Linked DNA regions of Alligator mississippiensis. The protein of the gene in region 2 interacts with the protein of the main gene of each other region in a pairwise test. Links are inferred from orthologs where the notes say so. Each region holds a gene or a part of one and is shown on either strand. Other genes may lie near its edges.

Region 1 (7,509 bases), on a different chromosome or scaffold from region 2:
TCAGGCTGATGAAAATTTATTTTAGTTAGCCTATACTGGGGTGGGCAAAATATAGCCAGCTGGCACGTTCATCTGGCCCACAGCACCCAACGAATTGCATCCTGCCCAGCCTTTCTGCCCACAAGGGTAGAAGTGAGGCACCTATACCCACCCCCAACATATCCTATTATGCTTCGCTCCCACCCTTGCAGGCGGAAGGGCCAGCCCCGCTAGCACAGGGCGGGACTGCTGCTGCAGGCTTCTCCAGTGTTCCGCTCCTTCAGGGCAGCAGGCAGGGACGCTGGGATGCAGGTGGGGCTGCAGCTGGGCAGGAGCACAGAGCATGGGGCTGGCTGCAGTGGAGCCCGTGCCCCTGGGCAGCAGCAGTGAGGAGCTTGGGTGGGCAAGGTGTGGGTGTGAGGGGTATGAGGACCCCTCCCATACTGCCCCCATGATGCACAGCCCTGGCAGGGGGGGGGGGCAGGGCAGCAGCAGGGAAGGGGGCGCTCTGCTCAGCACTGCTGCCTGGCTCTGGCCAGCACTATAAGGAGGCCCCTCCAGGCCATTTATTTCCCCAGCACTCCACACAGTTGCAAGGCACGGGAGGAAAGCCTGAGGTACTGAAGTGGGCTGGGGCAGGGAAAGCATCCAGCTCCATGCTGGAGCTTCACTCCTGTGCCCCGTAAGCGCGGGGAGTACTAGGGAAACAAACGGTCAGGCGAGGGCTGCACTCTTTGCTGCAACATGCAGTGCTGGCCGGAGCCAGGCACCATCACCCCCACCTGCTGCTGCACAATGAGGGGAAGTGTGTGTGGGGGGGGTCCCCACACCCCTCACATCCCACAAAGCACACACATAGACAGATGCATACCCCCACAAGTGTTGCCTGTGTTGACTGCAGAAGACAGTGTATTCCAGAACCTCCCCCCGCCCCCCACGGCAGCCCCCCAGCATACCCTATGCCCCCTCAGACAGCCATACCCCCTCACAAACTCCCCCCCACACACATACCCACACCCCTAAACACCCCCACACCCCCCCATCACCCACACATCCCCATCACCCCCCACCTCCAGCACACCCAATATAAAAGACTAAGAATTTATTTTTGAGTTATTGTGCAGTCACCTCTATATAGAACACACAACCACAAATCACAATGAAAATATTTTTTGTAATAAAATTAAAATAAGTTAAAGTAGGCATTTGACTTTTAGTGTATGATTTGGTTTTTTTCTGGTTCTAAGTTGGCAACCCCCACTTCCAAGAGGAATATTTGCAGGGGGGCAAGGGGAGGGATTTCTGTCAGCGGTTAGGGGTGGAACTTCCGGTCCCAAGATAGAAGTCAAGGGCAGGGCATCTGTCAAGGAGCAGGGCTACTTGACAACTCACCAAACCTCATTAAGCAGCCCTCCACTCAAAATAATTAACTGCCCCTGGTTTATATAGTGCAAATCTACCCTGCCTTCTGCTTGACTTCAGATTAACATGACTAACTCTGTCTCTCCATTAACACAGGTCATCATGACGCATTGAAGAGCCTTGAATATTAAACAGACACTTAAAGCTTATTTGGGAATTGTGCAATAAGTCAATGTAATGATACCAGCATTGATTAACACTAGGGCTATAAACACACTTGTCCTTGAAGTGGGATCAGCTGTGCCAGGATGTGTCCCAGCAGAGCTGATGGGCTTCACTGGGTGACACAGATACCACCCACTGTCCTGCATGGCTGCACCGCTGCTGCTGCTCCTGGGTTCTCCCAGTTAGAGGCCCACCCTGGGAATCCCGTGACAGAGGATGCCCCAGGCACCCATACTGTGTGCAATCATGCTGCTTCACCCTGGCTCAAAGTATGCTGCTGCAAATGGAAGAACTGCACGTTCCCTCATTTGCAGGATGTGTCCTGACTCAGGAACAATGGCACCACACCTGTGCTTGAGGAAGTCCCCTTACCAGATCTCCAGGGTGTGACTTTGCAAGTGAGGAAACCCATTTGCAGAGGTACACCCCAAACCAGGGCACGATTTGCACCCGCAGAATGCCCTGCTGGGAGATTTCCAGGGTGTGCCCCTGAAAGTGAGAGAACCTGGGCAGGCACTTCCAGGGCTTCAGGGGCTCCTAAAGCCTTGGGAACATATGCCCAGTTTGGCTGGAGAGTGCAGGAAGCTCTAGGCCACCCCTACTCTTCCATCACAAAGCAAATGAACATCTGCCACAAAAGAGGCACATTTTAATACATATCACAGCCACGATTTTGGGCAATCGTGATACAACAAGGGGCACAGAAGTCTCCATGCTTGGGCTCTGTGTCACCATGAAAAAGGCTGATACAAAAGCGATGCCTGTTTGCAGCCTAAGAGAACATCCCGGTTTGCACTAGCCCCTGGGCACGCGGGTCTGGAGCTGAACTCCAGAAGGAAACCTCTCCTTTTCAGCGACCACGTGCTTGTGTTTGCACAACCTCTGCAAGTGCGCCCGCAGTGCTGATGTGGGAGACCCACAGCCGCACGGGCGTCCAGCTCCAACCGCCAGAGCAGCCAGCACAGGAGAGGTCCCCGAAGCCAGAAGCCTTCTGCCCTCTCTTCCCAAAGGACCAATAAGATCAGGCTGCTCCAGCTCTGCAAGCACCACCGCGCAGCCCCGGTCTTGAGCCGCCAGCGCCTGCGGCATCAGCCCCTGCTGGAAACCTTCTCCGCAGGCCAGAGCCCGGCCCGGCCCCACTGCTCCCGGCCGGCTGAGCTCGGACCGGGCTCCTCCAGCGCAACACGGGGCGCCGCCTCGGGGCGCCCAGCAGCCAGCGCCTCAGACGGGCATGCCCCGCCCCGCCCCCGCGGCCCCGCCCCAGGCCCCGCTACCTGGCTGCGCTCAAAGCCGTCGCGCTCCACGTCCAGGCCGCTGCCCCCCCCGCGCCGGCCCAGCACCTTGGGCAGCGGATTGGACACCTGCTTTATGGAGCCGCTCACCCGGTCCATGGCCCCGCGCGGCGCCCGCAGCCCCACTCCCGAGACCAGACCAGACCAGACCAGACGAAACGGGCCCGCCCCTCACGCCCGGCTACGCCGCCACGGGCTGACCCGCAGCGGCGGCCATTGGCTCCCACGCCCGCCGCTCAGGTGGTGCCGTTACCCGCCCCCTCTCTCTGATTGGTGCTGGTCAACACGGCTCGGCCCCCATAGCCCCGCAGTCCCGGCGCTTCTTCTGGAGCCCCGCACGCCCTGGTCCGGCTCGCTGGCGCTGTGCTCGCCCCGCCCCGCCCCGCCCGCTCCTCCCTCCCTCCCTGGCGGGGTCCTGAAGCTTACCTCGGTGCTGCGAAGCGGGGCGTGCGCTGCCTCTTTGGCTGTTTCATCGTGTCAAGCTCGGACCCCGTTCAGTGCCGCTCCCTTCACGGAGCCACCACCCCAGGCTGCGCAGCACGGCGCTGTGGGGGCAGCGGTCCTGTCCGTCCCCGGGGCTGCGCTGCTGCTGCAGGCCCCTCGCTTCTAGCCTTGGGATCGCTGCTGCACCCTTGCTAGACTGTGCTATGGGGCCTTCCCAGGAGGCAGCCTCGCCTTCTTAGCATTGTAAATGGCTCGGGTGTCCCAGGCAGTGAGCACGGCACTGGCAGTGCCAAGTCCATCCAGCCCAGTGGTTCATTGCTACTTGGTTGCTGGAGCCTGGCATGCGAGCCAGGGATAGGGATGGAGAAGCTGACCTTGGCCTCCTTGGGACCCATACTCTGGGGATGGAGTAGGCCTGCAGGTTGGAGCAGCTGGGTTGGGAAAGTCTGAGAAGAAATCATCAATGACTTGAGAAGATAAAAGTAAATAAGGCAAGAAGCGGGGTCCTGAAATATGGCTGAATGCTCCTCCGCCAAGCCTGAGGAAAGATCATACTATGACCTTGCAGTCACACACGTTCCTGAGAGTCCGTAGGCCTGCGATCCATTCCCAACTCTTCTGAGGCCTGGCTTTGCCACTCCGACCAAATCACTTGCTCTCTGCTCCATGCTGCAGGTTCCCATCTCTAGAATGAGGAGAGCACCATGAGAACTGTGCAAATTAATTAAAGTGTTTTGAGATACTTTAGAGAAAGGCAAAATATTCTCAACTCATCTGCCCTTCTGTTAGGAATGAGAAGCTCTGCTTTAGACAGAGAGACATGGACACAGACGTGCAGGGACAGGCAGCAAGAGATCAACAGACTTTAATTTAGCCATGCCTGTGCCCTTAGGCCTCTGGCACCTTGACAAAGTGGAAATTAAACAAAATGGTTTTAAATGTATTCTACCCGAGTACACCCTTGGCACAGGAGGGAAGACAGCAGGTCCCACACTCACCCAACGTCCCTGCCCCTATCTGAGGCTTGTACCAAGCATAACACAAATAGGCAGAGTGTATCTGCAACAGAAATAGAAATCAGGAGTGCAGTCTCATCTTGCAGGATAAGAGAGAGACACATGGGTGACTGGTGCCATCTGAGTCGTAGGGTCACCCCCCCAGTGAACAGTCAGCAACCGGGGAGGGTCCCCCCACAGCCAATCTCACCAACCAGGAGGGGAGTGTCCCCCGTGGCCAATCACACTTACCTGAAAGTGGCTGCAAGCACTTCCGGGACCACTGCAGCCACTTCATGCACTGCTTCATTGCAGCTGGCACTTGTAGGGGGGCACTAGCACTCCCGCCTGCCCCCCGCACCTGTTGCCTAAGCGGGGAGTGCAGCCTGACAGGGGTTGCACCAGCGCTCTCGGGGTGCACAACACTTTACATACAGTGGAGCTTCTGCTGACACTGGAGAGTATTCCGTGTATGGTGTCTGCCCGTTTGGATCACAAGAGCCATATAAAGGGCAAAGCCAGCCACCAAGTGATAGACAAGTACCCATTTAGCCACAGAACTTTGAAAACATTTCTCCCAACATGCCTGGGGGGCATGGATGGATCCAGAATTTTGTAAATGGCGGTGTGGGTCCAGCAACCATAGATTCAGGGGTGGATGCACCCCCTACTTCCAGCTTCTCCCCTCCCCAGGATGGGCAGACCATGACATAGAAGCACCACCTGGCACCTTTTTGAAGTCCCTGAATAAGGTAAGAATTTCTTCCACTGCTCTCAACACAACCTCCCTTCCCTTCCACGCTCAGCAGCATCTCCCCTCCCCCCCATTTCCCAATTGGTCACTGTCCTCCTGCACCACTGCAGCTGGGCTGTGCAGGGAGCCAGGCTCAGTGACAGTAGGTGGGTTCCTCTCCTGACCCTGCTCCTGGGTTTGGGTGGATACAGGCAGGAGGAACCCACCTAGTGCTGCTGCTTCCACTGTCTCCAGCTGAGCCCAGCTCCCCACCTAGCTCAGCCTGAGCTGAGCAGAAGCAGCTTTAGAGCACCTTCCCATCCCCACCCCAGGTTAGCCAGAGACAGTGACAATGGAAGGTGGGGAGGAAATATGCCTCTAAGCATGGAGGGGAAGGGGAAGGGAGGGATTCTTACCTAATTCAGGGACTTCACTGGCCACTGTTGTCCCGTTTCTGTGGCAGGTTAGGGTGTTATGCCTTGTGGTTGTGTCAGGGTTGACTATATTGTTTTACAAATAGGTTAAACCAGGGGTTCTCAACCTTTTTTGGACTTGAGGCACCCCACCATGTCTTTTGTGAATTGAGTGGCACCCAGTTTCAAAAATTAATGTATATAGTACAGTGTAAGCACTGCCTTGCAGAAGGGCCTGGCAGTGGGAATGAGGAGTTGTCCAGACAGAGACATGCCTGAGCCTGCATGTATCTGCTTAGTTTATCTGCTTGCTTTCTAACACTGTACTTACTTAAACCAGAGTGCTGGAACACCCTGGGTGCCACCAGATCTTTTAAAGGGTGCCAGGAGTGGTCAGTGACTGAAACACCACAATGACAAGTACAGGTTTTAGACCTAGCATAAGCCTAAATTATGATAGTATATGCTTCAGTTTATATTTTAGCCATAAGCAGTAGCATGGAAAAGTAGACTAAAGTCTGTTGGTCAATGTAAGTAGTATTGGACTAGGTCAGGTACAGATACTTAATTTTGCAAAACACTAATAGTTTCTAGGGGTAATAGCCATAACAACTTGATGTTTTATCTTTTGATTAGAGGAATTTAATTACCAGTATGTGTGGCTAATTAGAATCCTAATTAGAGATGTAAAATTTCTGGAAATTTTGAAGCCATGAGAAAAAACATTTTTTTTCCGGATTATTTTTGGAAAAAAACAGAAATTTGAGGAAAAATTGAAGTATATGCAGTACTTATTTTCTTATCACCCTTTACAGATCTAAATTCACTTTGCTACTTTAAGAACATAAAATGTATTATTTATAACTTGGTTTGCTCATAAAATTATAATTTTTGGTATATTCATTAAATTTAAAAGTATAGTTTATTCAGACAGTAATTACACATTTACTAAATTAATTTACTTTAAAATGTTTTAAATTTTTGTTACAAAAGGAGCTACAAGCTGCTGAACTCTAAGGAACCTAGCATCTCTTAATTTTTGCCAGTTTATGAGAAGCAGGCAAAAATTAAAGTTGAAAATAGAAAAAACCATCAACACCATAGTAAAACAAAAACAGCTATTTTGTATTCTGGACTTAGTCTCCTCCACAGTGTCAAGCAGATACAGAAAGCACTCATTTTTAGAAAAAGAGTAGAGAAAAAAAAAGGAAAAAACAAACCAAGACTCATTGAATACAAATTTTGCTACATGAAACTTAGTCTACCTAGTCTCATTTTTTGAGCTATCACTATCAGCAATTTCTGCTTCTTCTGATCCTTCATTTTTATCATCTTCATGGGCTTCTGAAAACTGAAGGTTTCCCCAGATTGAGACAAGCTTCTCTACTCTTTCACATGTTAGTTTATTTCTTGATTTGGTGTGAGTATTTCCAAACACAGACCAGTTTCTTTCACATGCTGCAGAAGATGGAGGAATCTGAAGCAGGTGAGAAGCAACAGGAGTCGGAGGCTGTGTCATACAGAGGCCTTGCCACCATGTTGCAGGAGGGATATGCTTGGCAGAGTCCCAGACTGTATTCCTAGACCAGATACCTGAAGATGTTCTGTATTCCTCAACATTTGAAAGTAGATTAATAGATTCATAGATTGTTAGGGGCTGGAAGGGACCTCGCAGATCATTGGGTCCAGCCCCCCTGGTCTAGGCAGGAAAACAACTGGGGTCAAGTGACCCCAGTGAGGTGATTGTCCAGTCTCCTTTTAAAAACCTCCAGGGTAGGTGACTGTACCACCTCTGGACAGAGTGTATTCTACACTCTGGATGCCCTGACTGAAGGAGTTTTTCCTGGTATTAAGCCTGAAGTGGCCTTCCGGGAGATTATACCCATTGGTCCTGGTCTTCCCTGGGAGTCTCCTAGTGAACAGTTGTTCACTGAGTTTCTGATGCACTCCTCTGATATAGCAGTAAGCCGCTATCAAGTCCCCTCTCAACCTTTTCTTCCTTAGGCTAAAGAGGCCCAGGTCCCTCAGCTTTTCCTCATATGGCTTGCCTTGCAAATCCTTGATAA
Region 2 (7,563 bases):
CAAGCAAGGAGCACAGATCCACACAGGAGACTATATTTTGCTGTGCGTCACTCCCACGATGCACTGCACATGGCAGCTGACTGTGCATTTGCACAACACCAGTCACATAAGAATGAATTTGCCTCGCATGTAACAAATTGTTGGTATAAAAAGGATAGTCTCATAAGAGCAAATTTGCACATACAGAAGCCACATAAAGTGAAGGAAACCTATATCTTTTATCAGAACTAGGGCAGGCACTGCTTGGAGTGAAAAAGTAGAAGAAATAAAACTCACCTGTATACTTGGTAAGGAAAAGAATCAAGAGAATGATCTAAAAAATACAAAGTATTTTCCTAGTATGAAGTGAATCTCAAATCCATCGGGGTGGGGGGGAATGGTTGCCCCCTCCTCTTGACCTCTGAATGTCTGACCTGCCCTTCTCTGTTTTGGTTTCAACTACTCAGGCTCTTGTTCACTAGTGAGTCCTGCGCTAGTCACCCGAACATGCACATGGCTTATGTACGTGGCCCTCCCCACAGTGCAGCACAGACGTATCTAGGTGTCATCATTGTCATTAGTGACACTTACGAAAACACAGACATAAACTAGTCTTTCCCTCTGACACCAGACTATATATACTGGTTTGTCAGGGCACCCAAAATTTTTCAGTAGAAGAGCAACAAACTAATAAACACTTGTACAGATAAAGTTTTTCATGTTCTGAACAATAAGGCTTTCCATAACTTGTCAACTACTTAGTTAAACAGAATCCTTTTCAGGCAGTTGCTATTGGGCATGTGTGCACGACACTTTAAAGCAAGTTAAATGCTTTTGCACCGCTTTAATGGCATTGGTGTTTGCACACATCAGTGGCGTATTGTGCGTTAATTCCAGCTGCTGTAGCACATTTCGTGGCGTAATATACCTTAAATGACTTTGGGGCGCAGCAAACTAACACCTCCAAGGAGTTTTAGTTTGCTGCCCTACAGCCATGGAGCGAAGCACCAGGCTCCGTGCGGCTCAGGGGCTGTGCAGGCAGTTCGTGTAAGCAGCCAGGCAGCAGCCCAGAAAGACAGGCTCCACCGAAGAAAAAAAAGAAAAGAAAAGCGGTAAGCCTGATTCCCCACACCCTCCCAGAGAGCCTGCACGGGGACTTGATCCTTCCCTCCACGGCTGCAGTGACCCCCGGGACCACCTGAGCCCGGTGCCTCCTGGAGGGGGTCCACCACTGCTGTGGAGGGAAGCACCAACACCCCCCCTTGCAGCCCAGGGACCACTCTGCCTGCCAGCAGCTTGCCCTCCCACTGGGAGGCCAGCATTTTATTTTTAGGATTTTTTTTAATTTAGAGGATTTCACGAACAATGCCCAATTTCACAGGTTCCATGAAATTGTGAATTTGAGTAGGTCTCTGGGTGTGGCGATGCCCTTCAAAAGCAGGATCCTATATAGCGTCCTACTGAAGAAGTTTTATGACTGGCATAACTGGAATTCTGCTCTGGCTTTGGGTATTGGTTTCAAACATTGCAGGTTATGATGTTATTTGAGAAGCAATAAATGGAATAATTTAAAGAATTCTGTAAGCTTAGATACAGGAACAACAGCACTGTGCATTTTAAAAATAAAAATATATCAGTTATTTGATTTCTATTATTGAGCTTCCTATCTCAAAACTTCCTCTTAAAAATATCTTACTTGCTTATTAAAATGTTATCTGATGAAACTTGTGCTTCTGGCCCCGCGTTTTTGCACTTGTAATACAACCAGGTACGTACACGACCTAGTCACTTTTGCTTCTTTTTGAGCTTGTGTCCACTGAGTCGCTTGGAAAAGTGAAGTTGAATTAACTGAAGGTGTGACCTTAAAGCCTGTTAATTAAAGTTCATTAAACCTGAGCACCAAATTCCCCTATTGTTTAGATGGTAAAAGTCTGCCTTTTTCCTCCTAAAAACCCAGACTTGAACTTGACTTTGGCACACCGTCAGTCTACATCGGGCTCCCTCCCAGTCTTGACTTTTGAACTTCCAGTAGTTTTTGTACATGCAATAAAAATACCAAGTCACATTTTTTTTCAATGTTCACTTTAGTATTTTTAGTGCCTTTCCCCCTTTGGGTCCTTGCCTTGGTGACTCACTTCTGAACTGGGCTGTTTAAGGGCCAATTGCAGGCCAAGGTTTTTCTCTGGAATTAGAGCCAACTATGGGGGGGCGAGGGGGGGCTTTTTCCTTAAAAAACGCCCAAGGAGCCGCAGGGTCACTTCGTCCCGAGCAGCCGAACTAAGCCCAAGTGAGCGGCGCCCGCTTCCCTCCTGGGCGAGCCCGGCGCCGGGCCGACGCGCGTCCAAGGCTTCCCGGGGGAGCCCGGCGCCCCCAGCCCGCTTTAAACCATGTCCGGGGCCCCACGCAGGCGGCAGCTCGGAGTTAGCGATAAGGACCGCAAGGGAAAACAACCGCCCGACATGTGACTCGGCTCAGGAAGCGGGGCTACGAGCGGGGGAGGCGTCGGGCGGCCCAGCTCCGAGGGGCGGGCGGCGAGCGGGTGGCGGGGCTCGGCGCAGGCAGCGACCCCGGCCCGGGGGGAGGCGCCGCGGGGGGCTCGGCGCTGTCACTGCGGGGCCACCTCCGCCGCCTGCCAGCCCGGAGCCCCGCGCCGAGGAGCCGGCGGCCGCGGGCAGCGCCCCCCCCCGACGGCAGCCCGAGACACCGGCCTGGCCCCGGCCCCGGCCCGCGGGAGGCCCTGGGCGGCGCCGCGCCGCGCCTACCTGCCGGGCTCGCGGCTCCCACCGTCTCTCCCCGGCTCCCACGAAGCTGCCGCAGCCCAAGGCCGGCCCGGCTCCGCCTCGCCTCGCCCCTTCCTGCCCGGCCCCCTCCCCCGGCGGCGGGATCCACCGGCGCGGGGGGGAAGTTCATAACCCGGCCCGGGGGGACAGCCGGACCCGACCCCCCGCCACGGCTCAGGGCCGAGGCTTGGCCAGTGCCCTGCCGCCCGCCCCGTCTCCGCGGGCTCGGGGCGGCCCGGCCTCCGCTGCGCTGCGCTCCCCTCCGCCGAGGCCGGCGCTGGTCCGCCGCGGCGCGCAGCGCAGCTTCCCCCGGGCCGGGGCCGGCACAGGGCGCGCTCGTCCTTCGGGGCGGCCCCGCGGGCCGGGGCTGGAGACGGGCGGGAAGGCTCCCCGCGGGGCTGGAAGCCAGCGGCTGCAACTAAACCCCGGTCACGAACAGTAGTAGTCAAACCCCCCCCGCTGGGGAACCGGCCCGCCACGAGGCTCCAGGCAGCAGCCACGCTCCTCTCGGCACCTCTCCCTCTAACCCAGGACGGAAAAGCGAGCCTGGGGCAGCGGGGCGGGAAGGGCCCTCCAGGGCTCCGCTAGTCCAACCCGCTGCCTGAGGCAGGAGCATTCTTGTCCCTATCCAAACCGTCCCCTACAACTCACAATCTAAGCTAGGGGGGAGGAGGTATTTCTGCTGTGGGGCCACTCATGAGTCTTGGTGACCCGTTGAGGGCCGCATCCCTCTCTCTGTGTCTCGCTCTTCTCTCCTAATCCCTCTCTCTCCCTCCCTCCAGATCCTCGTGTGAGCTGTAGTTTGCCAGGAGCCCCAGTGCCCAGCTGTAGGCCCAGATGGGGACTTCTGCCATGGTGGGCAGGCAGGCTGTGGACACTGCTTTCAGATTCAAGAGCCCTGATGCAGAACCTGCCGGCAGCAGCCACAGCTGACACCACCGCCAACCCAGTGCCACTGAAGCTGCTACCTGGGTCCACAGCTGCTACTGGCAGCAGGTTCCTGGTTGGGGCTCAAGGCAGGAGCTTCTACTGTGCTGGGAAGGTGGCAGCATCAGCTGTGCATCCACCAGCAGGTTCTCAGTTGGGGCTCCTGAACCTGCCGGTGGTGTCCACAGTTGATGCTGCTGCCCACCTGCTGCGGTAGAAGGCCTCACCTGAGTCCACAGCTGATGCTGCTGGGCAGAAACAGTGCCACCCGCCCACCTGGAACCACAGCAGCTGGAGCCACCAGCTGCAGGCCAGATCCACTGAGTTTGGTGGCCTGCCAAGTATGTTGACAGGCTAGATCCAGCCCACAGGCCATATTTTGTCCACCCCTGATATAAACTTTATTTAAGACTACCATCAACAAAGACACAGCACAGACCTAACACCGTAACCTGTGCCACAGGTAAAGCAGGGGATCCATGGTAGCCAGTGTCTTACTTCTATGGAATGTCATTTTATGCTCAAGAGATCCCAAGGAGAAAGCCGTGCCGCCCTGCTACAGAGGAAGGCCAACCTCTCCCCCTTGGGCAGGTTATCAGGGCGAAGCTGGATTTGTGCCCAGGCTCCTGGAACAGCCACCCAAACATACCAAACTGACCATGGTGTAAAATTCCTTCCTGACCCCAACTAGACTGGTCTGACCCTGACTGGAGGAACTTAAGGCTGGAGGGACTTAAATATTGCAGTGCATAAAGGTTGAGCTTCTTGCTCCTGGAGTTCAATACACTGCTCTGGATAAAGTACCTATACAGGCGGTCCTCAGACTTACAACACAATTGGTTCCTGAAAGCCGCATCTTAAGTCGAAACGTTGCAACTCGGAACCGATTTTCCCATAGGAAACAATGTTATAAATGGGGAATTGGTTCCTGAACCAAGGCCCAGTACCCTATTTTCACCAAAAATAACCCAGAATTTTGTACTCAGTCAATTATAGATGAGTAATATAGCTACATTAATATATTTATATTGTAAATAGCATTCATATTGATTTGGAAGGACTTTTTTGAGGTGACTGCTGGACTTTTTAAAGGGCTCTTGGTTGGACTTTTTGAAGGGTTCTGGAGTCTTGACAGGAGTCTTGGCTGCAGGTTTTTCTGGAGTCTTGTCTGCTGTCTTAAAGAAAGTATCCAAGTAAGTTTGGACAGATGTTCTCCAGGGAGATGGGCGGCACAGCAAATCTGTTCACTGGCATGGCGTCAGGTCAGATCAAGTGTTGTAAAGTCGAAACGGACGTCAAAAAGTTGAAACGGTGTCAATCTATTAACGTTATAAGTGTGAAACGTAACTCAAAATGTTGTAAGTCGAGGACTGCCTGTACAGTGCCCGAGAACTGCACCTCAGTATGGGATTCACAATAGGCAGCATGCTGCATGGGGAGGCATGAAACCAGCCCCCAGGAGTCCTGGAGACAGCAGAGTAGTTTACTTTCCATCCCTTCACAGGGTTTTAGGCTTTTCCTTCTGGCTGCAGGAGGATGCACCCATTACTTCTAGTCAGGGTTCAGATTACACTTTGACTGGGGGGGGTCTGCGAAAAAAATTAAACTGGTTCATTGGAAGGAGCAATCCAATTGGAGACCCCCCCAGGTTATGATTTTCAAATCGTACAGGGGGGCTCTTGTCTCTTATGGGGAGTGTCTGCCTCCTCCTCCCCTCCCCAAGCTCCCCCGTAATTTGCACCCAACTTCTAACGTTGCCAATTCAGTGATTTTTGTCAGTAGATCTAGTGACTCTGGGGGCTTCTAATGACAACATATTGTCAATGCAACGAAGCATACTGAGGAGCATGCATTTGTTTACCACGTGTAATATTTCACCATCTACATTTTTACTGATTTTACTATCTACAGATTTCAAGCAACTTGTTTAGCTTATTCTGGTGAATTTGCAATTTTAATTCACAGCACTGATCATATCTGAATTCAAAGCCGGGAAGCTTCTGCTGGGCTTAAGTGTGAGCCACACCCCAGAAATGTACAGGCAGTCCTCAGCTGATAACGTTTTGAGTTACAACATTTTGCACTTACAACATTTATAAATTGACACCCTGTTTCAACTTTACAACACCAATTTTGACTTGCAACGCTTGATCCAATGCAATGCCATGCCAACGAACAACTTCGCGGCTTCACTCATCTCCCTGGAGAACATCTGTCCAAACTTCCTTGGACACTTTCTTTAAGAAAGCAGACGAGACTCCAGAAAAACCTGCAGCCAAGACTCCTGAGAAGACTCCAGCCAAGAACCCTTCAAAAAGTCCAACCAAGAGCCCTTTAAAGAGTCCAGCAAAGTCACCTCAAGGAAGTCCTTCCAAATCATTATGATTGTTATTTACAATATAAATATATTAATGTAGCTACATTACTCATCTATAATTGATCGAATACAAAATTCTAGGGTATTTTTGGTGAAAATAGGGTACTGGGCCTTGGTTCAGGAACCAATCCCCCATTTATAACATAGTTTCTTATGAGAAAATTGGTTACTAGTTCCAACGTTTCGACTTAAGACACGGTTTTCAGGAACCAATTGTGTCGTAAGTCTGAGGACTGCCTGTATAAGGTATGTAGGTGTTCCTGGCAAACCCTAGCTGATGTATCCAAGTTAGCTACCTCCACATCTCATTTGGACACTGCTGTGCCAAATAACACTTGTTGCACCTCCTTTGCAACTGTCATTCGGGGATTAGGCTCCAGGTCTCCCTGGTGAGTATACTTATCACAAGTCTAGTGTCATGCTCCCTTTTTCTTCCCTTTCTAGCTAATGAAGCTTTAATTCTTTTCTGCACATTGGCATCGCTTCAGGAAAAGGAATGCCCAACTGCCTATGGCCTGGTAAAACAGGCCTGAGACATGGGTTATGGGGATTCTCCTGGGACATAGGGATTGAACCCTTTCAGCTAGGAAGGGTTTTAAATCTGACTGCACCACTTCTCTAAGGAGTGCTCCAAACATCACTACTTTTATCTATACTGTAAAAGAAAGGTATCTGCAACTTCAGTTGTTGGTTAGCAGCCAAATCTTACAGGTGTGCTCTGAGATCAAGTCCTCCGGGGGCCAATGTGGAGGAATACCTAGTTTCTGGATCACACCCAGATTTAGATGTGACTTAGGCTCAGCCCTGTCTGAAGTGGGTGCAGTCATACACGGAGATCACAATCTTGGAGCTGGTCTTGAGTTAACTGCATGAAACATTCATACAAATGCATCCTGGAGCCAGGTTTAGAATTTAGTAAGAGTAAAGTTACATTCAAAATGGCAACAGGACTTCTAATAGTATGCTTTGCAGTTGCATTATTCTGCTGAGTTCCCTGCAGTTCTGTTCTCCAAGGCTTTGTGTTCAAATAATCTCAAATCAAGCACAATTAGATCTGGTGAGTACTTGATGAGAACCCACAAAAAAAACAAATCTGCTTTCCTGCAGGTAAATGATTCAATACTCCCCATTCTTTCCTATCATCCAGGACTGAACCTCATTATGAAACCTGAGAATACTACACTGCTCTTTCAGATGAGACAAACAGACATCTTGATTATGGTTTGTTATTGGAAGGAAGATCTTATGATATCATGACACTTTTCCCTCTCCAAGAACTGAACAGGATTTTCTTAACCAATGTGTCCTGATTTAGCTACAGCTGGGTTAAGTATATTATTTGATCCCGCATCTCAGCTGGATATCAATAGTCCAGACCACCTGGCATGTTTTTAGAAAATAGGTATTTCTGAGATCTTATCCTGCTCTAAATTGTTACAGTGGTGTGTATTTCACTGAAGGGAACACTGAAGTTTTTCTTGCTTATAGAGTTCAGACAAC

What was found.
Region 1: the proteins of LITAF (region 2) and HIP1 interact in binary tests that used the Homo sapiens proteins (3 or more experiments, as listed by UniProt). The link is inferred for Alligator mississippiensis from reciprocal best matches to the Homo sapiens genes LITAF and HIP1.

What each region holds. Positions count from the first base shown.
Region 1 is NC_081837.1:27,287,477-27,294,985, reverse strand, and holds the start of HIP1 (huntingtin-interacting protein 1), read right to left. Parts: upstream 3,018-7,509; 5' UTR 2,958-3,017; coding exon 2,841-2,957; intron 1-2,840. UniProt on the Homo sapiens protein: Plays a role in clathrin-mediated endocytosis and trafficking. Involved in regulating AMPA receptor trafficking in the central nervous system in an NMDA-dependent manner. Regulates presynaptic nerve terminal activity.
Region 2 is NC_081836.1:39,426,479-39,434,041, forward strand, and holds the start of LITAF (lipopolysaccharide-induced tumor necrosis factor-alpha factor), read right to left. Parts: upstream 3,006-7,563; 5' UTR 2,890-3,005; coding exon 2,742-2,889; intron 1,790-2,741; exon of another isoform or gene 1,676-1,789; intron 1-1,675.